4 linked regions of the Schizosaccharomyces pombe genome follow. The protein of the gene in region 2 purifies or fractionates together with the protein of the main gene of each other region. This does not show direct contact. Each region holds a gene or a part of one and is shown on either strand. Other genes may lie near its edges.

Region 1 (7,253 bases), on a different chromosome or scaffold from region 2:
TCTAAATGACAGTGTGTGATGAGAAACGTTTTAATCCTTTGCTCTGAAAGGTGCCAGGCTTTTGCGTATGATTCATTTTCCACCGTATAATTGTCATACTTGGTGATGGAAGACCAAGAATCGACGGACAGGTGTTTTGACTGGATCAACTCAACCAACGCCGATAGGTGGCTTCCACCATCCAGCGATATAATTTCTTGAAATGCGCCATCAGAAATCAAATGACTGCTACAGCAAGACTCCAATGGACCCCCCTAATAAGTCAGCATGGCTCTCAATGCATAATGTTTGAATTCTTACATTTTGTCCCTGTTTTCGTTAACGTTAGTCGAAATTCTTCAAAAAAAAAAATATTTTTCGTTTTTCATACCAATGAATATAATGTAAAAGAATTTTCTACGAGTCCTACTACTTGATCGGTTTGAAATTCAGCTTCTTTGATTTCGAGTGCTGCATGCATGGCTAGGCTTATGGAGAGTTACAGATCTCCGGTGCATGCACTAGTCTACAAAAACATGTCGGTTGACGTCATATTTATTACAAGCATACATTTACTACCGTAGATTTAGGGTACGATAAACGATGCTCGAAATGTGGAGAAACTCGGGGTATAGTGTAGTGTGTTAATTATCCTTATTCATGTGCCCGCTTGGTGAAGAAGTATGCTATGAATAAATAAAAGGATGGAAGTCGTTAAGTGGAGAGGAACGAAGTTATGCTTTGCTGCTTTAAGTAAGATATTAAGAAAAAAAATGCGACTTTGATGAAACACGTTTGACATGTATCACTTCCTTATGAGAGCAATTTTTCCGAAGGTTCAATATACACCCTTAAAGAATGTCACGTAACGAGAAGAGAGAGAGCTATTTTTTATATAATTCCAGAGGTTTCCTTTTTTTATCGTTTAACATTTCTGAGGGGAAGTTTTGTTGCTTGTTTAACAATGTCGGCAGAAGTTTATGCCCTTCTCTTTAAGAGACCGACTAGCAAACAATTGTAAACTATCGGACACTAATATGTTTTTTAAAATAATAATTCATTATACATACAAAAAACTGAACCTCGTGTAATATAGATTTCCGTATGAACTTGGTTCTTTATCGGACTTTGAGGATTCGTAAGTCCCAGTCATTTTATCTGATTATGCTAAACTAACTCTTACTTTTTCATAGAGTACTTAGATAGTTCCAGTCAGTGCTGCTGAGAACCAGTTTGCATCAGTTAGGGAGGGTGGTAATCGTTGTAAGAGCTTTCAAAATATGATCTCCTTTTCCTTTATGCAAGATAATCAAAAGAAACATTCCTAAATTACCTATTTGAAGAATCTTTTGTATGTGCCGCTGAAATTGCTTTCCATTGAACTTTTTGTTGGTCTATGGAGAGAAATCATCATAGGTGCATAGCAGCCTTTAGGTAGATATTTTAATTAGCAATATATCCCAATTTTCCCTTTGATAATGATCGGTCTTTTTTCAATTAAGTCTATACCTAAAGGCATATTGGAAACTTGCTATAAAAGTTTGAAATAGAAACAATTCTCAGAATATTACTTGAATACGTTCTCTGTTTTACTCCCTTTTTTTTTTACTCACAAAGAATGTCACACTGCAGTATCGAATTGCTTTATTTGTTCCTTTGGAATAAAAAGGTAGATTTCCTTTTATTACAGCAAAAGATAACAAGACTAATAATTAAGCGGCTTTGTTTTTACCAGGAATTGCATTTTATGACACTACGCAAAATTAGAAATGTAAAAAAGCGCTTTCGAAAATTTCCTTTTACACTTTCATTATCAGGATTGACAACCCTATGAATTCCTCCGTTAAAACTTCTCACCAGCGGAATTCGATGAAGGTTGATGTTAACAGTATAGACTCAATAGCAACATTATACGAAAAATCATAATAAATTGTGAATAACCTTTTATTAATTGAGCGAATAAACATAGAGTAAATTTAATTAAGATTAATAATTATAACTAATTTTGAAGAAATTATTATAAAGAAAATAAATACATTGAACATCAACACATCCCCTTCAATTCATATACAAAGTGCATTTCTCGATTTTAGGACTAACTTGAAACACAACGCACAAACATTTCCACAACTTGATCTTTGGTTTTGGCGTGAAGGTTGTTAGTGCTAAGCTATACATTACTCCTTATACTTCATCGGTAGCAGGCATGGAGTGCATTTGATAAGCTTGATTGTTGGATGATGATGGACTGAAAACATTACCAGCCGCATCATACGAGGTACCATCAAAATTTATTGGAGGTGACCTATTTTTCGATTTGTCGGGTCTATTTGTATCGCCCTGCGTTGTTGTACCCGCTGAAGACTCACTAGCTGCATCCCAACTAATAGTTGGCTGCGATGTAGAATACGACGGAGGAGGAGCCAAGCTTCCAACCGCAGGAGCGAGTCTCCATTTCTTGATGTTTGCTTCAATAAATACATATCCTGCTTGTCCAAGATTGACATGTAAGGTACAAGGTCCAATTGCACCAACCGTAGGATACAAATTTCGATATGTACACGGCAGTTCTGCACACCGACGACCGTTACGTGTAAAGAAGATCCGATTGCACTTCGGTTTGTAACCAACACCAATTACATCTCCCTGCTGGTAGAAAGAGGAGTACGGTTTTCCCGTAAATGGTGAATTACTGCGGCGTGTTCCATCCGACACATAAGCAGTAGACCAAAAATTCCAACCAGGCAATCGAAACGGCGGATATGGCTTGGTAGCCAGACCGATGGAAACCAAGGTATCAATAGGTACGTCTAAAAGTTTTACTTCAAAATAGTATACTTCATTGATCCTCTGCAAAGGCAAATTGGTTTGCATGCAACATTCTTCGTTGCCCAAAAAAGACAATTCAGTTTTATTTTTAACATAGCAATTATATTCCTGATTTGGGATAAAGTGCCATGCTAATACGCCCTTCTCTTGAACTTGTAGGAAGTCAAGCAGCTTTGCATCCGTGTTGACGTTAGATTTCATGGAATTCAACTCAAACTCACGAGCTTGTAAATACCGTTCTTTCCCCATATCATCCAATAAACTAAATCCTTCTTCATCAATATGTTCATTCTCTAACGCTTCGTCGTCCAACTCACCAGGATTGGTGTTTTTCAGCAAGATCCGTCCATGTCGTGTGTATCGCAGTAATAAGATGACTGACAAAAGACAGATTAAAAGAACAATGACAGCGGCTAATGCAATAAATATGAAAAGGATTGCTAAATTAGGATGGGTGTTTGAAGATTCCTGTAATCTCAACTGGCGAATCTGATCGGGATGCATGACTCAAAGACGCAAAAAATAATTTTTTATATAAGATTTGAAAAAGGAAAATCTGCGAGTGTATATTTAATAGAGAAATAAATAACTGAGAGTAAAATCCTAGCTATAAGAGGATATAGTATAGGGTTAAGAGAAAAAGGATTTTTCTCTCAGATATGCAGTTTATTAAGCACGAGATACAATATTTAAATCTAACGTAGATGCAAGTATCTCAAATATTGCACTAATATGGTTTTTGCGAATGCTCAAGGATTGGGCGAAATGGTATACTTGTTTCAAGTTTACAGGAGAAAATACAAACTCCTTTAAATAAATAAGATATAATTCTTAAGATAAAAAAGAATTTATTCCTGAAGGAGCCACAATGGCCTGTTGTAAGGTAAAATCGAAAATCAGCGGCAATTTACCAGATAATACTGCTCCGTCACAATTATGCTTATAAGTTTTCTGTTTTTACAACCATAGATTGGAATTAACCAAATTTTTATTCGAAAATTTACTTTGATTCGTTCAATGTTTGCTTCCGGATTTCAGATGGTAATGGGAAAAGGAAGGTTACGAAGCACCACGTAAAGGCCACATGGATACTACTCCGTCCATTAACCAACAACACCTACCATGTCAGGGTCTCGAAAACAAGAAGCAATAGACGAATTAAGGAACTCTCTTGATGTTCCTGCTGATACTGCTCAATCTGTTTTGGAATCATTTAATTGGGACGTTCAGGTATGTGACACGGCAAGCATTCATTTTCAGTATTCGATAGTGATCAATTGCTTTGATTGAAAAATTCCAAGAAAGTTGTTATTTGCAACTGAACATTCATGGAATCCTCTGGTTGTCGTTTATTTTTCTAATCGAATTTTCGGTGAATGTTGGGACTGAGCCATTTTGCTAACTGTTTTATGATTAGGAAGCGATCGAGAGTTTAACTGGAGAATCGTCAAGAGTCGATAGAAATTCAAAGCTTGGATTAAGTTTCGGCGTCTTTCAATCTGTTTTTTCTTTGCTATTCAGTGGGTTGCACAAACTATGGATGATTTTGTCAAGGGTTCCTCTGATTTCAACATTTATCCCCATTTTTGGTACTACTAAGCGTGTCCTTTCTCCTGCAGACACTGCGAACAAGCTGGTTCAGAATTTAGAAGAGCAATACGGTACTGAGCATATTGATTTTTTTACTGATGGCGGCTACATGGAAGCGTTGACACGTATTAAGCGTAATTATGGAGTCGCATTGCTTTTCTTTACTAGCTCAAAGAATGATGACTCTGAGACGTTTTCCAGGAGTGTTCTTATGAACCAAGAGCTAAAGGAATTTTTAAATCGTCGAAACATTCTTTGCTGGACTGGTGATGTTTGTGAGGATGAGGCTTTCCGAGGTTCTCGTCAATTCCACTGCACTAAATTTCCCTCCGCAGTCCTTGTTATGTATTCACCTCAGCTATCTGAGCTTGTAGTTGCCGCCCAACTCCATGGATGTCTTGATAGTTCCAGCATCATTACCAATCTAACTAATGCTTTGGCTAAACATCTTCCTTCTCTTGAGCGTTTCCGTTCGGAGAGAGAAGCACGAGAAGCTGCTCGCGAGTTACGACGTCAACAAGACAATGCCTATCAAGCGTCCCTTGCCCGCGATCGCGAGCGTCAAGCTTTCGCGAGAGCAGAAGAAGAGCGTCTTGCAAAGGAGAAAGAAGAAAGAGAAATCGTTCAGAAAAAGAAAAAACAATATCGTGCTTGGCTTGCTTCTAATCTTCCACCGGAGCCATCATCTGAAGATGAACCTGCTCGTCTTTCGATCCGTTTTCCCGACGGATCTCGGGCTGTTCGAAGGTTTAAGAAGGATGATACTGTTGAATCCGTTTACAACTATGTGGATTATATGCTTTTTGAAAAAGAGGAGCCTGAAGAATTCGGTCGCGCTACTTCATCTTCTAATCCGGTCACTCCACCAAGTGACTATAAGCATGATTTTCATTTTCAACTATATTCTTCTTTGCCCAGAGCTTTGCTGAAACCATCAGTGGCTATTTCTACTAACAAAGCCATCTTTCCAAATGGCACTGTGGTGGTGGAGCTGGATGATTGAAATTAACAAAATTGTTTGTCTTTTTAAATCATAATGACAATTTACGACTATCGACGTTTCGAATCCGTTTTTAAATACATTTCTAAGATTTGATGTATGATGAATTTATTTTCTCTTTTCTATTTCTACTACTGAATTAATTGTTGTTTATGGCATGAATGTCTACTGGACGCATTGACTTTTTATTTTGAGCAAACTTTCAATGCACCCTTTAATCTGAGTACATAGTCGATTTCCACTAGATTTTCTGTTCTTTGCCAAAAACCTTTTCTATGCATGTCATCTTCATCTCTGTTTTCTACGATTTTCTTTGCAATGGAGGACAAAGGCTAGTAATTTAGGCTTTGTAGCATAAAAGTTTTGCCAGCTTTCGTCTGTGATGAGTGAGGTATGTATTATGAACATAAATTTGTTTAAAATATAAATCTTTCTTTATTGCAATTCGAAAAAGTCTAGTGGCTTTGTTTCTAAACAGCTTAAATTTTACCTTTAAACTTTCATTAATGTTAAATTTTTATATAATTAATATACAAATTAGTGCATTAGATTCACTTTATGTCAAGCATTATGACCCCAAGCATGGAATTTCTCAACGTTTCTAACAAAATTGGAAAAGTAAAGCGGTGAAATTATTTCCTTTCAGACTGAGCAAGTTTATTTTACATTCCTTTCTGTAGCGTGTTTTATATTCCATTTACTGCTATGTCTTAAGTCATTCAAATTGAACCATATAAGGATACGTTCGATCACGTTACAATCATCGTAAAAAGGAGAATCGTCAAGTTGAACCTGTACTTTATTCTTTTCTGGGCAATAGCTGATAATTTACCTGGTTATTCTAGATACAAAGAATGTCCAGTCTTCAAAAACGCCCTGGCCCAGGTAACTCTAGTCAACCGACGTAAGTCTAGCAGGAACGAGCAGCATCATGAGTTTTGCTAACTTTCTTAAATAGTGAAAGACCAAGAAAAGAATCTATCCTTGATCTTTCTAGATATCAAGATCAACGAATTCAAGCCACGTTTACGGGGGGCCGACAAATTACCGGTATTCTAAAAGGATTCGATCAGTTGATGAACCTTGTACTTGACGATGTAGAGGAACAGCTTCGCAATCCTGAGGATGGTAAACTTACTGGAGCTATTAGAAAGTTAGGTCTTGTAGTCGTTCGTGGAACAACTTTAGTTTTGATTGCTCCCATGGATGGTTCTGAGGAGATACCGAATCCATTCGTCCAAGCTGAATAAAAAGCCACAAGCCCTTCATTTGATGTTTGACTATTGTTAATAAAATACTACAAGTTAATTATTATACCGCATGTGCATGTTTTGCTTTGAAGGTTCAAAGACCCAATTCGGAAAAGTGTAAAAGCAATATGTGTTTAAAAGAATAAATTCGATTATTAAGATGATTTTCTCTACGCATATGTTTAAATTATTTAATCCATGTTTATTCCCAGTTAGCTTGTTATCACATTGCTATATAATTTATCTAGTCTAAATAGATATATGCCATTGAATAAAAGTATATTAATGCCAAAAAGTTTAGTTCTTTTCTTCCTTCAAAACTGAAAATGAGAATTTAGGTAATTCCTGGGTGCTTTCCATTGTAGAGAGATTCTCCCCATTCTCTTTTGGCAAAACCGTGAACGAAAACTTGGGAAAAGGTTCCTCTTCTAGGGAACCTTGTTTGTCAGTTTTTTCGAGCGTCATAGTGGCATCTTGCTTATGTTCATTCGTGCCCTCAGCAGAGGGTTTCTCGACTTCAACTAGCGAAGTCGATTCCGATACTGAGATAGGGCTTTTCTCAGCTTGCTCAAAACTCCGTTGATCAATAGCAACGTTCGTCATCT
Region 2 (8,127 bases):
CTAAACTTTGTATACAGTTGTATATGAGATGAAATCGGCTGTAGTAAAGAGAGCAGAATTCCTGGGTGTGGGCGGTTGTACACGAACGATAGGTATCGATCTAAAGAAAGGAGTCAGCAACTTTTAATGTCCAACATACATACTAATAAGACAAAGGGAATAAAGGAAGAAAAGAAAAAGTAATAAAATTTGATTCTAAGTACTTACGAAGAGTGTTTTATTTTGAATATTTTCTTAACCCGATTTGGAAAGGTGGATGTAAAATGTCGTTTCCATGAGGATTTTTGAAGTGTTTCGTTTTCTGTCATTATATTATAGCACAATTTTTTTCATTAACAATAATTGTGCAATTACAAAAAAAGGAGTTGCTCACGAAAATCGTAATTAACAAATAGAATAATAAATGTACACGAGGATTCAATGGGAATTAATTAGAATACGACGTTAAAAGAGAGACAATAATTACTGCTAGAAGTTGATGAAAAGCAAGGCGTTCATTATATATAATAGTTGAGTGCTGGCTTACAACGTCAAAACAAACTTAAAAACTGGGGTATGGTGGCTGAAATAATATAAAAAATAATGTATAGCGGTAACAACACCTTGATTTTATTCGTTTATAGAGCTATAATTAAAACAGTAATAAAAATAAAAAGCTAAGGAGGGTTTATTAGAATATTTCCATAGCCATTCAGACACTCTCCTCTACACGGCATAGCGGTGCGATTCGATAAACCAGCTTAGTTATGGGAAAGGATGCACAAGGGATGGAAAACAAACACTTCAACTATACATATATGTTTATACAATATTTAGCTATGTTCAAACAGACTCAAGATAGATAGAGCAGATGTGAATCAAAGCAGGTTGCACAAATGTCAGCAAAGATGAATAAGGTAAAATAATTACTACAATAAACAAAACAAATGATGGGCAAACTTTTTGTTTCTATGTCTAATTATGGGATCCATTATTGAATTTCGTTTCTGGTTTGTAAATATTGAAGAAAAGGTCATTAAAGATTTCTTATTCCTAAACTTAAACGTCCGTAAATAGAATCGTGAATCAAGCGAAAAAACGCCAATAGACAAAAATCAGAAACAAAAGGGCAATAATCGAAACAGGGCCGTACTGCCTCCAAAGTGCTTCCAAGTTAACGCGACGAGCCGCTTTTTTGTACTTGGCACTAGAGTAACGCAAATCTGAACTGAGATCCGCCATTTTTTCTAAGGAATCACCTCGATACAGTAAATCTTCAATATTCTTGGTCATGACACGGGTTACATCTTTCAGCTCAGTGTTGAGTTTATCAAGGTTATCATTGGCACGCGGGGTATTATAAACTCTTTTTGATTTTTGCATAAAGGTGTCTAGAAATTGTTAGTTATTTCAATCGCAAAAAAAATAAGTTAAGTCAATAAATAAAGGCATACCAAATTGAACAAATGCATAAGGACGTAATCCAGGTTGTAATGCTTCTTCGCCGAAACTATTCCAAAACTCGCCTGCAAGTTCTTCCAGATACGAAAACGCTAATTTTCGAGGATACGACTGTTCGCAAATACATAAATAACATATTCCGTTGTCGATGAGATAACTAGACGTTTGGTTAGATCTAAAATTGAGATTCCGTTTGCTATTCGTATACACAATTAAACTTACTGAAATGTATAATCACCAGACTCAATAGAAGCCCTTTTTTCCGATGTAGGACTTAGTCTTTTAAGGATCAATTTGGCTTGTTTCTTATGGCTTTCCAAATTTCTTTCTGTTGATTCATCATCCACGCTAGCGGCAAGCGGAAGACCTTAAATTCATCAGTTAGTATTTATAAGTAATTTTCATTTGAACGGGTATTAGTTAAATAGAAAGCAAAAAAAAGCAAAAATGAGAATTGAGAATTGAGGCAATCACGAAATAATTTTAACATACAACTCTCATTTTACTCAACGAAGACCAGTCTTTATGGTTTCAGCAACAGAAAATTAACTAATCCCACTTTGTAGGTATACATACCATCAAGTCTAGTAACTGTGGTAGATTTTACCATATTGTACAATCGCGTGCTTTGGATACATTCAACGTACCCAAAGCGTTTACAACCTAGTCAAACGAACCTACGGTACCATCGATATCGATAATACCGTATTTAAGTATGCTTCGTTATACTACAATACTGAAGCAACATGTTTAGTTAATCGTTCCTATAATAGGTAAATACACACATCACTTTGCAACGGGATTAATAAAAGGAATATATCCAAATGAATCCTGACGAAGATACCGAATGGTATGGAGGATGAATAGTTGTAACAATAGAAGTTAACAAATCAGGAATGATATTTTACGTTCGAAGGGAATTTTACCCGAAAAAGAACCTGATGTGGATGATGTTTTAGACGATGCGTTGGTCGATGCAAAGCAGCTTGCCCACGAGAATCGGTTGGAAAACAAGGATCTAGATGAGTTAGCAGAGCTTGAGGACGAAGAAGATGATGAGTTTTTACAAATGTACAGAAACAAGCGGATGCAGGAGTGGAAGGATCAAATGTCAAAAGCAAAATTTGGCTCAGTATATCCTATTTCGAAACCAGAATATACAGCTGAAGTCACAGATGCAAGCAAGGAAGTGTTTGTCGTTGTGCATATGTTCCAAGACTCGTACGTTTGTTCTTCATTTGTTTGCATTTTCAATGGGTCAATACTAACACACTACAATTCAAGACTACCGGCCTGTAAATTATTAGCTGCTATCTTAGAGAGACTAGCACCAATGTATCCCCAAATTAAATTTGTAAAAATTCCCGGAAAACAAGCAGTCGAAAATTATCCTGAAGCGATGATGCCAACTCTTTTGATATACGGTCATGGAGACTTACAACAACAAATTCTAACCTTAGCTACTTTAGGAGGAATGAACACTAGTGTAGTTGATGTAGCTGAAGCATTGGTTAGAGCCGGTGCCTTAAAGGACAGTGATATTGCAGCTTTGAAGGATCCACAAAATGCAGAAGATGAGTTAGGTAAACGAGATTCTTCCGTTAATGACGATTTGGATGATGATTTTGATTGAGTTTAGATTGAATTGACTTATAAAGTGTAAAACTATTCTCATCTTGCTATTTTACATGAAGGAATCTTGTTCAAAGAAAAAGCCCACCTAATCGTTCTTGTAATTAGAATGAAATATATTTTGCATATACTAAACATTTTTTAAACTATCTTAACCTGTCTACGTAAGCAATAAATTTTTAGTCATAAAGGGAAAAACACCTTCGAAGATAAGTTTGCAAAAAGACGTTGAAATCGAGGTACATACAAAAGTAAAATAACTTTCGAAGAATTGCTAAAAGGATAATATATATATATATATATTTTTGATATTATTTTTTTTACCGCTAGCGATCCTTTCTAAATTGTTGGATGCTTTAAGACTAGTTTTTACGAGTCGGACGTTGAGTTTCAAGATATGTAAACATCGTTAATGTATTAGTAACAACAACAAATTGAAACTTCTCGCTTTTGTTTAAATAGTTCGATTCGTAAGTTTTCGTTTAAATTCCATTGCAAAATTTATACTTTTATAAAAAATAGGGGTGATTTGAAAAACCTCCTCGACTTGGGATGTCGAATTTTCAACATGGAAATTATCACAGTTATTACAGCATGAGGGGAGGAACCTCAATTATCGATCCAAGACTTAAATGTTTGCCTGATTCCCTTTTTTATGAGGCTTCAGTTTTAGATATAGGATGCAATAATGGGACAGTGTCTGCTCAAATTGCCTCAATATTTGGTGCATCATTTGTTTTGGGATTGGATATCGATCATGTTCTCATCCAAAAAGCTCGAAAACATCTTGAGTTTGTGAGCTCTCGAATTGGCCCTGTACGCAATCCTGGTTCCATTGTAGAAGACCAGTTTAATTATTACCCCATTTCAAGCATTAAAAAGTTTTCCAGGATACCAGTGCAACTTCAACCACCTCTCAATAAGCAAAATTTCCCTCACAATATAGAATTTGAGACCGCTGACTTCTTGCGCTGGGAATCGAAACGAAAATTCAAAATAATACTAGCATTATCCGTATCTAAATGGGTGCATCTAAATAACCACGATGAAGGAATCATTAAATTCTTTGGGAAGATTAGTTCTTTATTGGAAACGAATGGTGTTCTTATTTTAGAACCTCAAGGATGGGACTCGTACTTGAAAGCTGCAAAAAAAATATCTGTAAGTCACGACTATCAATACTTCTAACTCTTACTTTTCTAGGTTTTTAATCAAACACCTGAGAACCTCAAAATCCAACCTGATGCGTTTGAACATTTGCTTAATCAAGCAGGACTAGTGCTTGAATACAGTATCGAACCTCAAGTAAATAACTCTGAGTACAAGAATTTTGCCAAACGAACAATGTATATCTATAAAAAAAAAGGAATTGGAATCATAAAACTATTAACTTCTACTTAATTGTCTAGTAAAACGTTAAGAATAGACAATGACTGGAACTATAAAGCATAATGTCCCAAAAGGACGTGTCTCATTTTTTATTAAATTCTCTAATTCAACATATGAGGAAAGAAAGAAAAGCGGAATGAAGTAGTTTTATTATTAGATTTGGCCTTTAATATCAACCACAGCATGCTTTTTCATGCATTTTTCGAATCTATCCGTGCTTTCTTTCATCAGTATGCGATTGGGATCTTTTGAATCGTATACAGCATTACAACTCCTAAAAAAGTTTACACAATCTTCCATTTCTTCAAATGCTAGTGTGTTAGCCAAAAATTCCATTGTAAGAGAAGGGCGATATGCTTTGCACATCATTATCATCGCCTGCACTCGTTCTCTCTCAATAAAAAGATCCATCAAATAACCTCCCATGTTGGGAGCGACTAAATATAGATGGAAAAATTTATAGTAATCGCCAGTAGCCATCGCCGAACGGACTTCTAATGCATGTGTAACAGCAGCGTTTGTTTTGTCTTCTTCTTTTAGATTGGCGAGAAGGCTATTCATTTCTATAAATTGTTAATAATTTGAATTCAAAAGATATATTCTTTTAAGCAGTAAGCCGTAATTAACTTACCAGATCGATTTTTAGTGAAGAGCATATACAGAATACGATATGCTAAAAATTCCTTAGTATTCCCTGGTATACCAAAACTGTAAAGATGAAATAATTGAGTTTGACATTGGTTATACTCGCCAACATCACCCTAGTCGAACGTTAGAAGAAGAAATGATATTTTAAAGTAATTAACCGTACCTTTTCAAGAGCTATACGAGCATGTATTTCGTAAACTAATACAGAAAACTCATTTTGAATCCTTTGCACAGTTAAATCCTGTCTTAAACTTTTAAATTGATCGCATATATATGCATAGTTTTTCTCTTCTTTCCATTTCTTCTTTAAAAGTTCGAGAGTTTGCTTAAGAACTGGAAGGGGTCGAACAGTATCCGGATCAGGAGCCGAAGTTAATCGCAAATACCTTTTCTCTAATTCTGTGGACCGTCCTATAATAGCACCATTCTCCGGGTTGACTTTTAGCTCTTCAGATTTAGCGTTATTTTGAGAACGAGAACCATTTTCAAACCTTCTTCTTCTTTTTTCTTTCTTATCCACTTCATCTTCTTCACTTAAAAGTGAAAATTGATTTCCAGAAACAGGCTTCTCAACCTTTCTTTTTTTATCTTCGATGATTGTATTTTGAGCATTTGTCAGTTTCCTTAGGGATTCTAAATTCATAGAAGACCAATCAACATTCCATATGTTTCCCATTTCGTATTGACGAGAAATTAGCAATTTTACTTCATCCTCTAATTCTGGCTGGCTGTTTTCCTCAGCGTCTTGGATGCATCTACCAATAAATTCTTTCAAAGAGTCCGGCCAAGGGCTATGATGTTCTTTTTTCATATTTAATATTTTTCATTGAGCTATATGATTAATGCTAAAGTTAAGTACTTTTCTCAACTTCCTCAATTGCTAAAGTGGTGAGTACCGAGATTGTATGAGAAGTGCGAGTCCGTCAGCTTAACCCTGTCAGTAACGTTGTAAGTCGATTTCATTATCCAACCTTTCAATCAATAAGGATTAATTTATTACTATTCAGTTGATCGTTCATCATTTTTTCCTTTAAAAATTTAAAAAGTCATCAAATAATTCAACGGTTCCACCTAAACTTGTTTGTTCGCTTAAAATTTATGAAACCAACATGGAAAGTAGTTAATATTAACTCACGCTATTCACGCATATTTTATTCTGTATGCCTCATATAGCCTTGATTAAACTACTAAAAGAGAGTAATATACCGAATTATCAAGCCTAAAACACTACCTCCCAATAAAGCAATCGTAATTCATTATTAAATAAAAAAAAATTTGAAGACTGCTTCGAAAGTTTTGTAGTAATATCTTGAAGAATGTAGGTCTAAATTCTAAGCTTTTGGTGACATTATTTAAGATAACTAGCAACCGGAATGATTAAGCAAGAGTCATATTAAATAAGTACGGAATATAAACACCAAATTCAGTGGTGCATCAAGTAGATAGATTTTATATTTTTGAAACAGCTGGTAGTATTAGCAGCATTAAAAACATCGTTTAAATGTCTCTGTATTAAACACCATATTGACATAAAACAAACTAAGCGTTCACCACTATTATGATATTATGAATGATTACATGATTTCAATAATTAATAATCAAAATTAAATGATAAAAGTTTTATTAAATATATTCATTTTCTCATGGAGCGACAACAGATTATAGAGTCTTTACGCAGAATAATTCCCACTGAAAGTACAGAATATAATGAACGGCTTATTAGTTTAGGAGAGTCATTTTTGGAATGGTCCAAATATAAACATAATCTAAAGGCGACAGAAGAGTTATGCCGTCCTTATATGGCAGCGCACTTAGCTTGTGAACTGTAAGTAACTTCTGATGTTTAATTACTCTACTTGAACTTGTTCTGACTCTTTAAAAAGATTATCCAATGATTTAAATTTGGAAATAAATTTACTAGCGACTCCAATTCCAAAAAAGAAATACTATAAACTTTTCACTTACTTTCAAGAAATCTTATCTCCATTAACTAAATCCTTAGCAGCTAAAGATGATCTGATGGAAACCATTACTTATCTTTGTACCAAACTAGGGGGCTCAACTGCTATACCTTATGTTAAACAATTGGTGAAAGCCGTTGTTACAAACGACATGCGCATCGAACACAAAAGAGGCATCATAATCGCAGCTTATTTACTAGTATCGGCAAAAGCTTTTGGAAAAGACGAACTTCATATAAATCACACCGAGAGAAGAAAGGCACAGAGTGTTTTACAGGATACAAGTTCTGCATTGCAAATTCAGTATTGGATGCATGTCCTCTCAGAAAGTTGGCAGTATAAAGAAATCCCTTTAAATGGTATAGAGGGTTATGAATCTCAAAAGCAACGGATAAAACCTTGGAGTGGGATAGCAAGCATGATTCAAATAGATTACGAAAAACGACTTCAAAATTATCCAATATGGAAGGCCTGCATTGAAGAAAGAATCCAATATTACAAAAGCCAGCTTGAAAAAGATGGTACTGCTTCATGAATACAATTTACTATATTAATTTTTTTTTGTACATTAAACAACATTTATAAACGGGTACACGATATCTTTAGTGATATATACAAATACATGAGTAAAAAAAAGTTAAATTAGACTCTAAGCTTTACTAATAGACCACTCCAAATTTGTAATAGACACTTCTGAAGAGGCATTTTCATCATAGTCATACCAATCATCCTCTAATACTATTTCGTCAAAAAGTGTATTACTTTCAGCACCATTAGCTATCCATTCTCCCTGAGGAATGAATTCGACTAGTTCACATCCTCTGCATTCCAATACGAGAACTTTTTTCGTCTCTTGAGAATCATTGTAAGGAGAGAATGGCCCCTCTATAACGAAAGAGCAAGTTTTGCGACAATTTTTGCACGTCCATATGAGATTAGCCTCGCCCTTGCTGCCAGGTATGCTGTGAGTCTCGCTGCGGGAGATTTCAATGGCATTGTCGTGAATCTCTCGACAACCACTACATTGGACTTTAAAAGCATAATAGAAGGATTCTTC
Region 3 (7,727 bases), on a different chromosome or scaffold from region 2:
CTTCATTCAATTGGGTCAGGTTTTAAGGCAGAGATTTTTTCACACTGTCTAGAGCGATTGCGCTCCAAATTGTCAATGATATGTCTATAGATGATACCCTTTTTGTCAATGTCAAAGTGAAAAACCCAAGTATACTCGTCGTTTGGTGAAGCGATCCAATTACACTTCATGCTATATCTAACATTTTTGTTTTCCATGGATGAATGCAATTGATGAATTATGTCAATTGGCCTCTTTGCAGAGGAACCATACGTCGAAGACAGTAAGAGCCTTGCTGTCTTAAAAATAAACTTGTAAATCGTCAACCCTTCAATTCGGGGGAAATTCAAAGAGTTGGGAAATATGACTAATTCAACATGATGATCTAGAATAGCATCAGGAAGTGCTCTGTATAGAACAAGGGGAACTAGATCTTGAAGTATTTGAATCGTTTTACCGGTTTCTACGTTATACACCTGATTATGAATATTTTTTCGACACAAATGTTCGGCTCCCTTATAAACAGGATTTAAAGGACGTAACAAAGGCATGAAATTGAAGTTTCTGAAATTCATAAAAGGCATTGTTGACGATCATGGATACTAAAAGAATAACATCGTTAACAACATGTATTAAATGCGGATCAGTGAATACTAAGCATACTGCTGTTTGCTCATACTACCAATTTACGTTAACGATCATTACATCAAAACATCAGATTATGGGATCAATGTTTACCGTGAACCTTGAGGGTCCTCCAATTAAGTAGATCAAATAACGAAGCTCTACAACGTCTTAAAGTTTGTTACTGTCAGCAATACTACACTACGCTATGATACACTACGTTGTGTATCACTATATGTCACATGTTCTAATTATATATCGTACCATGTATGATACGATATGGAGATTGATCTTAATGATAATCTATTAAGATCAATATTATCTGAATACTATAAATAGAGCTACTGCTGAACCTCGTTCCTCAGTTCAGTTATGAGCTATATTAGTGATAGGTAACATTATAACCCAGTTAATACAATACCTATACTCAGTTGCTACTTATACAACCTGTGTATTGTAATATAATAGATCACAAGGAAAACTCACCGCAGTTCTACGTATCCTTAAATCAGATACCAAACTGCGTAGCTTACATACCGATGCGTAGAACTGCGGTGAGTTTCTCTTGCGATCAACAATATTGTGGTATGCAATATGATAAATTAAACAATGTGATATTTATTGTTATAAAAAGTTTATTAGTATCGGTCGCCGATATAGCTAGTAACTGAACCGGGGGAACGAGGCTCGGTTGTATATCTATTTTTTAAAATCCCTCTAATATCTTTTATCAACGTGTATATATGTATAAGGTGTATAAATGACTGCACTTACTAATAAACTAATTTTAAGTATATTCTAACATATGACATATAGTGCTACGCAACGCAGTATATCGTAGCGTAGTAAAGTCTGACACGCTACTATAACATTTCATCTCTTCAAACATTATATTATTATGCTATTCATTATTTTGTAAACATTAATTTTGTTTGAATTGAACCATTAAACAAAAAGAAAAATGATAATTAAGCTTGATTCATTAAGAATCAAGATGAAGGAGAAATGAATGCAATAAACGACAATGAATTTGTAAATTTAACAAGGCGGAACAACGAGTTTTTCGATTTCATTAGTTGATTTTAAGTTGTCGTAAACAATTTAAACCATTATTGTTTGTGACTTGAGTTCCATTAGAAAAGACACATAATTAGACTCGCATATAATAAATAAGAGATTCGAATCTCAATGCATATTATCCAGATTATCCAACATCGCGAACCATTTCAAGCGATGCATTAGTTTGACAATTTTTGGTAACTGGAAGAATGAGTTAAGCATATTTTCCATAAACTTATAGTGAAAGATGATGATTAAAGAATGTTGGTGCTTATGTTTTAAAACGCCGCAGCTTCTCTGCGTTGGTGATTTTCGTAAAGAGGTTTTCCAGCTGTAGAGACTTTCGAAAGCACAACTTTAATAATGCAATTTAAACTTCGCCTTCGACATCCATTTCCCCCAAGGGAATGTTATTATTATTATCGTTGCCACCTCTAAACGCATTTGCTAGCCCCATCATCGCATTTCCTATCCCTCCTAGTCGGGTAAGTAAAAAATCATTCATACAGTTGGTTGAATACACATACCTAAAATAAAAGCTATACCATTCCTGATAGAGTTTCGTGTTCTTATGAGTGCACCTGGACATTCTGGCATGGTTAGAGTAAACTTCAAGAATATTTAACGAACCCATTTCGCAAAGAAAAAGAACATTGCCCATAATAAATAGCACAGAGGCTTCAATTTCACAACCTGTCCATTCAAAATGTTTACCACGTAAAAACATCGTACCGTTTAGTACCAACACGATACCACTTTGTAACAAAAACACTTTTGCCAACTTAGCTAACGTACGCTCGAATGTCCAAAATGGAATACAAACTGTTTGTCAGCGTTTAGCATTGTAACTTCACTTACCAGATGATACAATTAAAAGTAAAACAGCCGAAATAGTGCATGTGGAATAGATGAGAGCCTTATTTAAGTTCAGATCGCCAGATTTGACGCAACCAAAGAGTATACAACAAATGATTAACCAGAGTAACCAAATTATAATCATCATTTCTCTTCTTATGTTGAAAAGGCCAATAGAGATCACCTTTACACATTGTGCCAAGAAAACTACAGTCACCTTTATACATTGTGCCAAGAAAATTACAGTTACTTTGACTGCCTTGATCCAAGTTTCATAGAAGTCTAATGAGTTAGTGACTGAAGGTAAGAATTGACCTATCGTGTCACTTACACCATAAAGAAATAAAAATCATTAGGCAAATAGCACACCACACTCCAAAATATACCCATTCATCTTTGCCATAATCTTTAAAGAGAGCGTCCTTATACGTTAGATAACAAACTGCGGGTACGTTTAGCACAAAGATTGAAATGAATGATAAAAATGCTTTTTTCAACGGAGAGGTAGAAGAATTATCTGCCGTCCCGGAAGAATGGTTTTCTCTATGTGTAATAGAAAGACTGTCTTCACCATAATCCGGAGGAGTCGTAGACTCGTCCGTATTAAATAAGTTAGGGTTGTTAGCTCCCATTTGTTTGGGATCCTTTAAATTTATATTTTCTATATTGTTAGCAAAATTCAATGGTAACTTTAGAATATTTTTTAATGGGAAAGGAAAAAAGAGCGTGCCCTGTTAGACGAATTTATACTCGTAATATGTCAAGTTGTAAACAAACAAACACAACAAAAACATTGTAAATCAAAACAAACAGACACAGCAAATAATCCTTGACACACTCAATTCTTTATCTTATCTACCAACAACACAACACTTACCTGAATATGGAGGCAATGTGCTCCCATCTTCTGAATTGTATTCTGGGAGAGGACCTTTTTCCAAATCAATTTCATTATCGTTTTTTGCACTCAATTCATCCATAGACGACCTCAAGGGGTAATATTTATTCTTCATTTTCTAACGACAGTCTATTATTTAATGATATACACACAAATAGTTCAATTGTTGTGATTGCGACAAACGAAACAGCAAAATCAAGAATATTCACTCTGTAGTCCAATTCCAATCGCTTTAAAGACTTTTTAACAAAATAATAAAATTGTTCAAACAAATTTCCAACTAATTCCTTCAAACAATGGCATAAAAAAAGAAGAACGAAAAAACTGAACGAGGCAGTGAATTGCTTCTGACACATTTATTTTGTCACTGCCCTTTTTATTCACCCCAACTTAGATTTCCTTAAAACGTTTTTGAGAAGCAAAACGTTGTAGTATAATATAATGTCAGCTACGCAATTTGGTATCTGCTTTAACGATTACATAGAACTGCGGTAATTTTTCCTTTGTGACCTATGATATTACAATACACAGGTACTATAAGTAGCAACTGAGTTTAGGTATTGTACTATCAAGTTGTATTGTTATCTATTGCAAATACAACTTATAATTGTGTAAGGAATGAGGTTTAGCAGTAACTCTATTTACGTTGTTTAGATGATTTGGATTTTAATAGATTATTGTTAAAATTAATATCAACATCGTATCATCTGCGGTGCGATATGTAAATGGAACATGTGAACATATAGTGACACTCAACGTACTGTATCATAACTAATCTCGGTGACAGCCTTAATATGATTTTTTGATTTCGTAAATCCTCGCAAAAAAATGTACGAGCTCCAACACAATACCGTGTAAATGGGCTTTGCCTGTACATGACACATTCTTCTGTTCGCTGCATCTTTCTTACTTCATCCAAAAGCGTGTAAAACGAGTCTTCTCCCGATTATAATGTTGTTTTACTCATTTTTTAAGACATTAATAGACACGGAAGTTACCGTGGAATTGAAGGTATGCCCCTACTTGGCTTTTTTGATCGCGTTATGAGGTTAACCAAACTATAGAATGATATGAGTATCCGAGGAATTTTGAAATCTGTTGACCAGTTTTTAAACGTTAAGCTTGAAAATATTTCTGTGGTCGATGCGTCGAAATATCCTCATATGGTATGCTTTGCAAGTTATCGGGAATTGAAAGAGAAATAAATGATTTCTACGATCGGTAGGGTTCGGTTTATTCATTTTATTTAGGTTTTTGATTGATTTTTGAAAAAAGTCTTGTCCAAATCGATTATGTACAACATCTTACATGAGAGGAACATGAATCAATCAGCTTTCCCAACGTATATGCTACATTCTCAACTTTTAAAATCTAGGTTTTTCATTAATTGAACAATTTAAGACTGATCATAAAGTGCGCCTCACTTTCTGAATTCTTCGATCTATCCTTTTTTTTTCGTTCCTACTCTTAACACTATCTCGTGCTATTATTCCAGAGTTATAACTAATAATTTATTAGGCTGCTGTTAAAGATTTGTTTATTCGTGGTAGCGTTGTTCGTTACGTCCATATGTCAAGTGCATATGTTGATACTATTTTATTAGCTGATGCTTGTCGTAGAGGTAAGCCATGATTTGTTAAACACTGAAATTTTAGCCTTATTAACTCACTGGTTTTTAGACTTGGCTAATAATAAGCGTCAATAATTCCTTTGAAAATTTCCTTTTTTTGGTCAATATATTCGGAAACCGTGAACTAATTGCTTATTTAATCGTAGTTCGGTTATTCATCATGTGTCCCATTGCGATTTTTTTCATGCCCGCAAAAGGAATATACATGTGTATATACATCATTTTATTAAGGACCATTGTTGTTTGAAGGTATTTTCCTCCCCTTTCATTCATCCATATTCTTACTACCTTTTCGCTTTTCTTTTAAATCCAGCTTCCCTATTATGCCTGAAACCGATCCCTTAAAATTACCGTTTTATTATCTTCAAAAAAAAAAATTAAGTAGAAAATTGTTGGCGTTTACATGATTTTTGTGTACGGCTTCTTCCATTAATATAGTTGATGAGACTTTGTCAATTATCATAAAATACATACATCGTTACATATCGGTTTATTGCTGCGAGAGGGAATTTTTAGCACTCATGCATCATTAGCAACAGAGCGTTTGTATTACTTTAAAAGATATCCACTCAGATTTGTGTTTTACAAGTCTAATTCTTCTTCCAATTTATTTTACTGATTTCATTTGTAGGATTCAACCGATCTCACCTTTAAGCCAATCAGGCACACTCTCTTTCATCGTTTTTTTAATATATTTTGTATTCTTTTAAGATCTTCCCAGTGAATGATACGATTTTACTTTTTTAGTGTTCTTAGTTTTATTCTAAGTTAATCATGAAAAACGTCTTCTTTTTAAAAATAATTGAAATGTTCAGTAGTAAGTTGAAAGTAAAATCGTATTTATCTACTACATACGGTTGAGCAGCATAAGTATGATATCGCATTTGCTGCCAACTACCTCACTCACCATCCACATGCCATCTATCATATTATATCCCATTTACTTTGACAAGAGCCGTCCACGTAGGTTTCGTTGTGTACCAAAAGACAAAGCAATTTTAAATCCGTTAGCTAAAAATATTGCCGATGTTGTTCGCGATTTGGGATATAAATGTAAATTGGAACCATTGAAGACACATCCTGCAGATTGGGTCAATCCAGGTCGAGTCGAAATGGTATTACCTGAAAAAATACAAAGTAAGATTGTTATTAGTTTTATTTTCTCGTATGCTAACTGACTGTGAATGTAGAAAAGTATGTCATAAACGAAATCGCCAAAGTACTACTTCTTCGCCCAACTGTTAAGACAGATCCTTTATCGTTACCTATTCAAAATGTTCCCGCACGTCTTCCTGAAAATCCTCCTGCATATCCTAAGGGGGTTTTAGGAAATACGATTTTACCTCTTCATTCACCTGCTTTATCTGGCGGTGGTATCTCTGAAAATATGTTCCAGGAAATGATGCAGGAAATGCAAAAGCAACCTGGATTAGCTGGAGGTATGAATCCAATGGCTGCACTTGCTGGTATGGGAGGCCCTGCTCCTCCTATGCCAACTCCCCAAGCATCTTCAAGCCAGCGAAAACAAAAGTCAATTGAACCAGAATATGATTTGGATTTGGAGTAAACTTATTGTTTAAAACTGAAATATTAGGAATATAGGTGCTTTCGACTATTAGCAAACGCTCATGGATATTAGTAAATTTTTTTTCTCGTCATCTTTTAACAAAAAATTTTTTCCTAATAATGAGTATGGATGTAGAGTTTCATTAAAGATGAGTTCATTTGCACAGCACATTCTGCTTTTTTAAGACTGAGTTCTGGTGGCATACTTAATATTTTTCTGTCTTTTATAAATGTTTCGCCTCTCGTTATATCAGAAGCTGTTTCATTGTAGTTTCTTTCATGCCAATTCAGAGGCGAAATTTTTGAATATTCTATCATTAGTAAACCATGTTTGACATAGTCGTTTTCAAAAGTTTAGTGTGAACTGTATAATTAAATTCTTTTTCGACAACAAATAGCATCTTTTTCGTACTTCAATCCGTATATTCAGGTAAGTTTGATGACTCTCTTTCCTGAAAAGTAATAAATCGCTTTAAAGCTTGCAAACACTAACATGTGAAAGGTTAGACTGGGTACTTTATCTAAAATCTTACCTTTCTCTTCTTTTCGTCTTTAAGTATATTTGAACTTGGATTTGCTTGTAATCGTTGATGTGCACTTCTTTCATGAATACCAACCATAGTAACTCCAATAGGCCAAGGTGCATTTCCAATTGTCAGACGTAAATACATATCATTGGCTTTGACAAATTCGTGTTTTTGGCATCTGTAACAAATTTCAGCTATGCTTTTAAAAATATCGTCGTTTAAAGCTTCATCGACTATCAGTTGTATAAGTACATCAAGATCTTGCTTAGCTTGACGAAATATTTTTAATTGCATCTGACTCTCAGAACTTTCGAAAGAGTTGATGGATTTTGAAGACAAAAAGTTGTCCCAAATGCGGATTCCATGTTGAAGAAAAGCAACTACTTGCTTGGATACTTTGGGTTTGGTGGTAGTAGCATGCTCAAAGTCGATTGTTTCAACTCCTTTAGTAAGGAGTTCATTTTCAATTTCTTCCAGTTTTTTGTATTTTAGCAAACTGTAATATCGTTGAATGGTAGCCTCTTCTGACTCTCCAAACAAACGAATTGGCTCTTTCATCTCACGAAGCTTTGCAATAATTTCGGTCAAC
Region 4 (7,014 bases), on a different chromosome or scaffold from region 2:
TTCAGGTAGATATAATTAAGACTGGTCAAAATTCATTACACATAACCCAATCATTCATTTTCATAAACTTATGATGTGTAATTTACTTTTAACAAGAGAATCATAGAGATTTTTGCTTAAACTTATGAGCCATAGATTTTAATTCGGAAATTTCCACAGGACCCTTGACACTGGGATCAGAAATAGCCTCCAAAGCAGCCAAAGCAACTTCCTCAGAAGGAAGGGGTTCAGCCGAAGCGGTTCCGAGGAAATTTAAAGCACCAGAGGTTGCTCGATTGATGCTGGATGAGACAGTAAAAAGAGACGCAAGGGCGCCTGTGAAAGGACGATCATTAAAGTTATACATAAAACCAGGACGGAGAAATATAGAACGAAGGTTTGAAATTTTAGATATTTCCCTTTCAGCTTCACGTTTCGTTTTTATGTAGCGGGGATCCAACCCGGGAGCCGCTGCATGAGCAGACACATAGCAATACACAGGGACATTAGCTTTGGCGGCAATCTTAGCTGTTTCAATAGCTAAATCTCGATTGATTGCTTCAAATGTAACTTTATTTTTAGATTGCTTTGCTTCTTCAGGTTTAGGTGCTAAAGGGTTTTGGCCAGTTTTAAACATGTTAGAGCTAAGACTATTGATTAAATGCGAAACTGGTCCTCTGGGATTCTGTAAAATCTTTTTATAGTTATTTTCCATAAGGATACCAACACTGTTCACCACTGCCGAGGCATCACGAAGAACAGGAAGTAATGAATTTGGATCTTTTTGAGCATCCAACGTCTCCCATTCAACATCATCCATCCATGGTTCTTTGTTATGCAATCCTCCAGCTCCTCTTCGGGATACTGAAACCACCTCGTAACCCTTAGCAATGGCTAATTTGCAAATATTATGCCCTAAAAAGCCTGAACCACCTAAAACAACAATTTTCATACTTAAAACGAGGGAGAAAGTAAAAATAAAATTATTTAAAGAATTTAAATCTTCAAATTAGACAATTTGATATAGGCCAGCCCAAATTATTATAAGGATTAGAACCCCAGAATTGTTAATGTAAGCTAACACCTCAAAGTTTCGTGATGCTTATTATTAATCTTAATAATTGAGAAACACAAAAATGCTGTCTCAAAATATTTTTAAAATTTCCTTTTACGAACAATGTTCAAAAAACCCTTTCAACCTGAGTAGTTAGTAAATCGTAGTTGAAGAGAATGAGGTAATGTGCTAGCTCAATAAGGAAGACCAAGAGATGGAAAGAGGTAATTAATTATCTTCTATTAGACTTATTAATTTATAAAAATATGTACATCATTTAATAAGTATGCAAAATAACCATCATTCATAATTGGAGTATTAGTAAAAGTTTGTCTTAAATGAGAGCGCTAAAAAAAATTAAAAATAAAAATGCTTTGATAATTTAGTCTTTAATTTTCTATACTTTATAAGCCATTGATTAATTTCTTAATTATCTTTGGATTTTAAATTCGTAATAATAAGATCTCAAATTCAAATACTTCATAAACCCATTTACAAATATGTTAGATTAATAACAAATTCAATTTTAAGCTAACAATAGAGCTTATGAATCATAATATTTATTCCGATAACCCTGAAGACACAATTTCGAGTTTTATGAAGTGTCTGAGAAGCCAGTTGATTGCTATTCTGTTCATACAGAAAATTTCGTGATTCATAGCAAGAGGAAAGAAAAAATCTCAAATTTTTTTTATTTTTTTTTAATTAATATTATTACATATTTAGTTGATCGATCAAGAAATCGTTGAGCGAAAGTATTAAATTCATATATTCTAAAACAATACACTGTGGTTTAATTTTATAAATTTAAAATAACTGATCGTTACGAGATCTATTAGAATTTTAAGTCTTCTTATTATTGATATCTACACCTTTTTTGTTTTGAAAATATATAAATCTTATTTTTTTTCTTTCATTCTAATCAACATCCTTTTTTTTTTTTTGAAATTGTTTTAAATCAAATGTGTATTTCATTATATTGTGACTGATAAAAATATGTTTGCGAAAGCAACATTTGAACAGATTGAGTAAATAGGCTATGATATAGTAAATCTTTAAATTTAATTTAATTCTCAATACCAAATAAATATTTCTTCAAAAAGGGTTACAAATAAATTAGCTATACTGTGGAGTATATGATATATCGATCCCCCTGATGTAACAAATATAACATATAACAATATGTGTTTAAGTATGAGTATATTCAGAATACATTGGAAATAACGAAAATCCAAATGAAACATTAAGCATAAATTTCTGATTTCTAACTTGCCCTTTTTATTTTATTTTATTCATCATAGTTGTCTACTATTCCAACACAAGTTATGATGTTAATGAGTTGCTAGAATGTTTATTTGCGAGACAGTAGTATAAATATCCTTTCGTAGCTGCTGTACGTTATAACGAACAACTTAACTTTCTTAAATTTTTCTCAATAAATACTTAAATTTACATTGAAGAATATAGCTGAAAATAAATAAACTCACGATGGCAATTTCTCAGCCTCTTTAAGTAGATTTGCTTTTATAGTCACTATGATCTACTGGTTTAGTTCTGTGTGCTGCTTCGTCAAAGTTGTAAGTCTTCGCTTAATTATTAGCGAAACTTTATTTTATCAGATAGGGATAATATCCAAGAAAATTGTACTACCAAGCTGCTTTGAGAAGATAATACAAGTACTGAGATGAGTGTAAAAAAGTGCCAAGGAAAACGAGCTGCGCCCTTTAACTTCATCTGTCTATATTCTAAATGCCACCTTTAAAACAAAAATCTAACTTGTCTTATAATGTAAAAACCCTAAAGCTTCGCACTTATGGTGACACATTTAGTACAAATTCTTTCTATTCCATACGTTCTTTGCTGAATAAAGAGCGAAGACCGTCCCCTTTATATTCGAGCCGTCATTAATTTTTCATTCAAAAACTAAGATAGTAAGGCACATCGATAACAATCTAAAGTTGTGAAAAAATTCTTATAAAACGGAATTCTTAAATACTTATTTCTTCCAAATTATTTAAGCAAACCTTCAAAAGAAGAATTATCCTTCAATGATTTAAACTCAACAACTATCAAATGAAGTAATTCAAGAATATAACTGTAGTCAAATATATACATCTATATTCCCCACGTCCATAAGATTTGTATATTTGTTTACAACGGGTATTTTTAGTTAGAAGAACGGTTGCTTGTAATGATGAGGAAGGATTCGTGAGCCGGATATAGCTGGAATAATGTTCAATACCTTTTCCTTTAATAGATCTATTTTACAAAATAAATTTCGTTGATTAATAAAACAAAAGATCATTTAAAAATCGTGCGCTTCACAAATTACTTTAATTTTCTTTTGACACAAGATTGTGTTCCTTTCCAAACTAAAAATATAATTGGGTTACTTCTTATATTGATAGCAAAGTTAGCTTCAAAATTTTAAGACAAAAAGGTGTTTTCAATTTGATTAGTTTATTAAAATTCTTGATTTTTTTGTTTTTGCTGTATGTTTTATAAAAAGTATCATGTCACTTGAAATACATGCTGTAAGACTACCTACTTTTGTTTAGCACTACCATACTGTAATACAACTAATACTTAAATCACTTTATCATGAGTCTTGCTGATTTTATGGAACGTAAGTGTCAAATTTTCAATAGAGAATGAAGTGACTAATATAGATGTTCGTTAGAAAGGGTTCAAGTCATTACAAACGATGGTCGCGTTGTGCTAGGTTCCCTGAAGGGATTCGATCACACGACCAATCTTATACTTTCAGACTCATTTGAAAGAATTATTAGCATGGATCAAGACATGGAAACAATTCCTTTAGGCGTTTATTTATTACGTGGAGAAAATGTGTAAGTGGACGCAGAGCCTTGTACTGGCGGTACGTAAATCAATAATCTAATAGTTATTTTTAGAGCAATGGTTGGATTAGTGAATGAGGAATTAGATTCAGAAATAGAATGGACCAAAATTCGAGGTGAAGCAATACCTGACGTTGTGCATTAATACAAAAACCGGACGTTAAACTTCAAATGAGAACAAACGTTTAAGGCTACATAGGATTTGGGTTAATGATTTTTTTGTTATATTTCCTCTTTGTGCGGGCGAATCCTTTGCAAATTTTGTTAAGCTTTCCACGATATATTCATACCTTGCAGCATGTCTTTTATCAGGAAGCTATTAGCTCGTAGAAAGAAGTGAAAATTCTTTCTTTATTTTTTTAAAAAAATATGACTGAGGTTGTAGATTAATTCTGATGACAAAGAGTTGACACTTGAACGAAAATACTTAAAAAAATGGTTTAAAATACCGAGTTCGAGGACATCGGTTCTTTCAGAATTTAAAAAATTCTTGGTTTCTTGTTAAATTTGTGGATCACAAACTCATTTTTCTTCTTATTTTGTGGGTTTCATCTTTCTTAAATGATTCTTGGGAACGTTAACATACCTTTGTTTCCTTAATTTGATTTATGCACTTTGATTTTGAAATTTGTGGTCAACTTGTTTAAAGACTTTATATTTATCATTGATTTTTGTTATTATATGGAAAAAAACATCACAATTTATATCATTTACTGTGCATAACATTCTTCATTTTTGCTGTCACGCTTAATGTTTACACTGGAAAATTTCTCTACCTTGAGAAATATTTCAGCATCATGGTCCAATTTACAAAGATCATTTGAGTTAAACAAAAAAAATGATTTATTATATTTGCTGCTCATATTTTTTTTTTAGTGATTTTTTATTTTGGCATCGTTTTGTGAACTTACTTTCCAAGCTTTGGGATTATCAAGAAAAAATTTTTGTTGAAAGAAGAGCAGAAAAACTGTTTGATAATTAAATGCCTTTGCAATTTCATTTTCTCAATTTAGCAAAATAAACTGAAATTTCTGCAGCAGTGACTTTAGGTTACATTGTAACCTACAGTTTACAACGACCTTTGTGCTTACAGCAACTTTTTTTCAATTAATTTTTTACAGCCATACAAAACGGACTTGATTCCTTTATTTTTAGTTTATTAAAGCCGTTAAATATGAATTTGGTTCTCCCTGGACAGGTGGTCGCGAGAGGGGCTCCTAACGGTGAAGGAACGGTAAAGAGAGGAGATTATATTATTTCCACACGAACTGGCATCTTTGATCCAGAGAAAAATTCTGTAACGTACCCAAGAAAAGTTGAAGAGACAGCCGTTTTACCTAATGTCGGATCTATTGTTTTAGCTCGCGTCAGCAGGATCAATGCTCGTCAAGCAACTGTAAACATCTCAGTCGTTGACGATGTCTGCACCAAAGATGAATTTCAAGGGGTAATACATGTGCAGGATATTAGAGCTACTGAGAAAAATAAAGTCAAAGTGCAAAATTCATTCCGACCGGGTGATATTGTCAGAGCACTTGTAATTTCACTTGGAGACGGCTCTTCGTACTTTTTAACAACAGCTCGAAATGATCTTGGTGTGATTTTTGCTCAGTCTAGTGAAACAGGAGAGCAAATGTTTCCGGTGGATTATCAGCATATGCAAACAAAATCAGGATATACGGAAATGCGTAAATGTGCTAAACCTATATTAGACGAATAAAATGAGGGGATAAAATTGCTTTGTTTTGATATAACCTGATAGTTTTTTTTCCCTCTCGGTTCGTTCTTTCCTAACAAAAAAAAAATTCTGAAATTGTTAGAGATTTTATGATACGAATATACGGAACACGGATAAAAATAATATTGAATATAGAAATATTGGAAGTTCATTAGAATGATGATTGAGGTGACTTGCTGTCGAAACCGATATCATTTTCAATTAGAAGTCAAATGTATAGTTTTATAAGATATAGAGAACCTTTGTAATTCAACTGAACGGACAGGAGCTCTGAAGTTTCTTAAAGTTATTTACTTAATGGAACTGAATTGGTCGGTTGTTTATAAACTCTAATTCATTAACAAAAACATGAATAAGGAGTTTCTAGCAATAATATGTGTTATGTTTACAACTTTCTAAGAAGGTTACTGTATTAAGTTATTTTGTGTAATTTAATATCGAGGATTGCACCTTTCATTGGAGGCTGTGATATCCTGAAATAACATTTATGATCACAGATTTAAGGATGAAGTATTTAATGACATGAAAATTAGTATTCGTACACCTCTCAGTAACTTTTCAAAACTACTTTCAGTTTTTACATTAAGGGATTGGATGTACTTTTTATACACAGTTTTATAAAATACTAGGTTGTCTCTAAACATCAAGTATCATCTCAATCTTTACTTTCGGCCATTAGACTGATATATTTTATATCAATTAATTAGTAGACAACTGTTTCCAGATTCTCATATAAGCACGAGAGCTTCTATTCTACCCGTCTTTTCCGTATATAGCTGTCATGACTCATTAAGCTACTCCAGCGTGAGACTATCAAATTTAATCTCTTCATCCCTAATATTTGTTTGTAAATACTTATAATTGCAAAATATTCCATTACCATGACATCAAATAGAGGATTCTAAATCCAATTCGCAGGTACACTGACTTTAATGGATTCTGGGCTAGTTCCATAAAAAGGGATTGAAAGGTTTTATTTTCCATATGATAATAGGTTTCAATAATCAGTTCGACAAAAACATCTTTCATTAGCATACTTATTACCTCAAATAGTCGATGTTTAACTATATCAGATGACTATCTTATCAGATTATTCTTCAATCTTAAGCTTAGGATTTCTATAAAAGTTGGTTACAAATACATCTCTTTATGACGAAAATTTACCGAAAAAAGTACATCTGGAGTCGCTCATTCCATCTTAGATAATTTGTTCGAGAAGCTTATAATTCCGGATCGTTTTGTCAGTAACTGTATGATGGGCTGAGATTGTCTTCTAATACGCTGTCTTCACTGGAATGCAAGAGCGCAATGGTTTTATATCTACTAGCTTTGTGATTCGGCGAGAGTTAAGATGTTGTTCCGAAATTAGCCATATGGTGAGTAAA

Evidence for each region.
Region 1: the proteins of bmc1 (region 2) and lsm7 purify together in Schizosaccharomyces pombe (affinity purification with mass spectrometry, with the first as the bait; one study listed by BioGRID). This does not show direct contact.
Region 3: the proteins of bmc1 (region 2) and lsm2 purify together in Schizosaccharomyces pombe (affinity purification with mass spectrometry, with the first as the bait; one study listed by BioGRID). This does not show direct contact.
Region 4: the proteins of bmc1 (region 2) and lsm8 purify together in Schizosaccharomyces pombe (affinity purification with mass spectrometry, with the first as the bait; one study listed by BioGRID). This does not show direct contact.

What each region holds. Positions count from the first base shown.
Region 1 is NC_003421.2:1,812,172-1,819,424, forward strand, and holds lsm7 (U6 snRNP-associated protein Lsm7), read left to right. Parts: upstream 1-6,194; 5' UTR 6,195-6,252; coding exon 6,253-6,302; exon of another isoform or gene 6,303-6,356; coding exon 6,357-6,648; 3' UTR 6,649-6,753; downstream 6,754-7,253. Other genes in the region: dual-specifity cAMP/cGMP phosphodiesterase Cgs2, read right to left, coding at 1-254, 301-309, 371-460; SPRY domain membrane protein, specificity factor required for ubiquitination Ear1, read right to left, coding at 2,164-3,312; dsc5 (UBA/UAS domain-containing protein), read left to right, coding at 3,931-4,038, 4,226-5,401; nucleoporin Nup60, read right to left, coding at 6,946-7,253. UniProt on the Schizosaccharomyces pombe protein: Component of LSm protein complexes, which are involved in RNA processing and may function in a chaperone-like manner. Component of the cytoplasmic LSM1-LSM7 complex which is involved in mRNA degradation by activating the decapping step.
Region 2 is NC_003423.3:2,960,603-2,968,729, forward strand, and holds bmc1 (Bin3 family regulator), read left to right. Parts: upstream 1-3,500; 5' UTR 3,501-3,624; coding exon 3,625-4,233; exon of another isoform or gene 4,234-4,275; coding exon 4,276-4,473; 3' UTR 4,474-4,614; downstream 4,615-8,127. Other genes in the region: SPOM_SPBC2A9.13 (uncharacterized protein), read left to right, coding at 18-127; SPOM_SPBC2A9.14 (uncharacterized protein), read right to left, coding at 1-100, 208-308; SNARE protein Sec22, read right to left, coding at 1,066-1,370, 1,434-1,597, 1,663-1,807, 2,017-2,050; plp2 (phosducin family protein), read left to right, coding at 2,265-2,290, 2,335-2,661, 2,725-3,073; iss9 (nuclear export factor), read right to left, coding at 4,615-5,024, 5,093-5,222, 5,273-5,920; origin recognition complex subunit Orc6, read left to right, coding at 6,753-6,934, 6,993-7,605; protein ess1, read right to left, coding at 7,720-8,127.
Region 3 is NC_003421.2:2,141,564-2,149,290, reverse strand, and holds lsm2 (U6 snRNP-associated core protein), read left to right. Parts: upstream 1-4,305; 5' UTR 4,306-4,366; coding exon 4,367-4,426; intron 4,427-4,479; coding exon 4,480-4,581; intron 4,582-4,933; coding exon 4,934-5,036; intron 5,037-5,094; coding exon 5,095-5,120; 3' UTR 5,121-5,342; downstream 5,343-7,727. Other genes in the region: protein mug163, read right to left, coding at 3-563; wtf meiotic drive antidote Wtf23, read right to left, coding at 2,033-2,139, 2,190-2,252, 2,293-2,484, 2,521-2,799, 2,849-3,178, 3,395-3,530; putative signal recognition particle subunit Sec65, read left to right, coding at 5,960-6,182, 6,236-6,612; U5 snRNP-associated protein Prp18, read right to left, coding at 7,025-7,099, 7,145-7,727. UniProt on the Schizosaccharomyces pombe protein: Component of LSm protein complexes, which are involved in RNA processing and may function in a chaperone-like manner. Component of the cytoplasmic LSM1-LSM7 complex which is involved in mRNA degradation by activating the decapping step.
Region 4 is NC_003421.2:2,274,268-2,281,281, forward strand, and holds lsm8 (U6 snRNP-associated protein Lsm8), read left to right. Parts: upstream 1-3,610; 5' UTR 3,611-3,634; coding exon 3,635-3,659; intron 3,660-3,713; coding exon 3,714-3,882; intron 3,883-3,945; coding exon 3,946-4,036; downstream 4,037-7,014. Other genes in the region: ubiquinone biosynthesis protein Coq11, read right to left, coding at 101-931; exosome subunit Csl4, read left to right, coding at 5,066-5,611. UniProt on the Schizosaccharomyces pombe protein: Component of the nuclear LSM2-LSM8 complex, which is involved in spliceosome assembly. The LSM2-LSM8 complex plays a role in the biogenesis of the spliceosomal U4/U6-U5 tri-snRNP complex by accelerating prp24-mediated annealing of U4/U6 di-snRNA.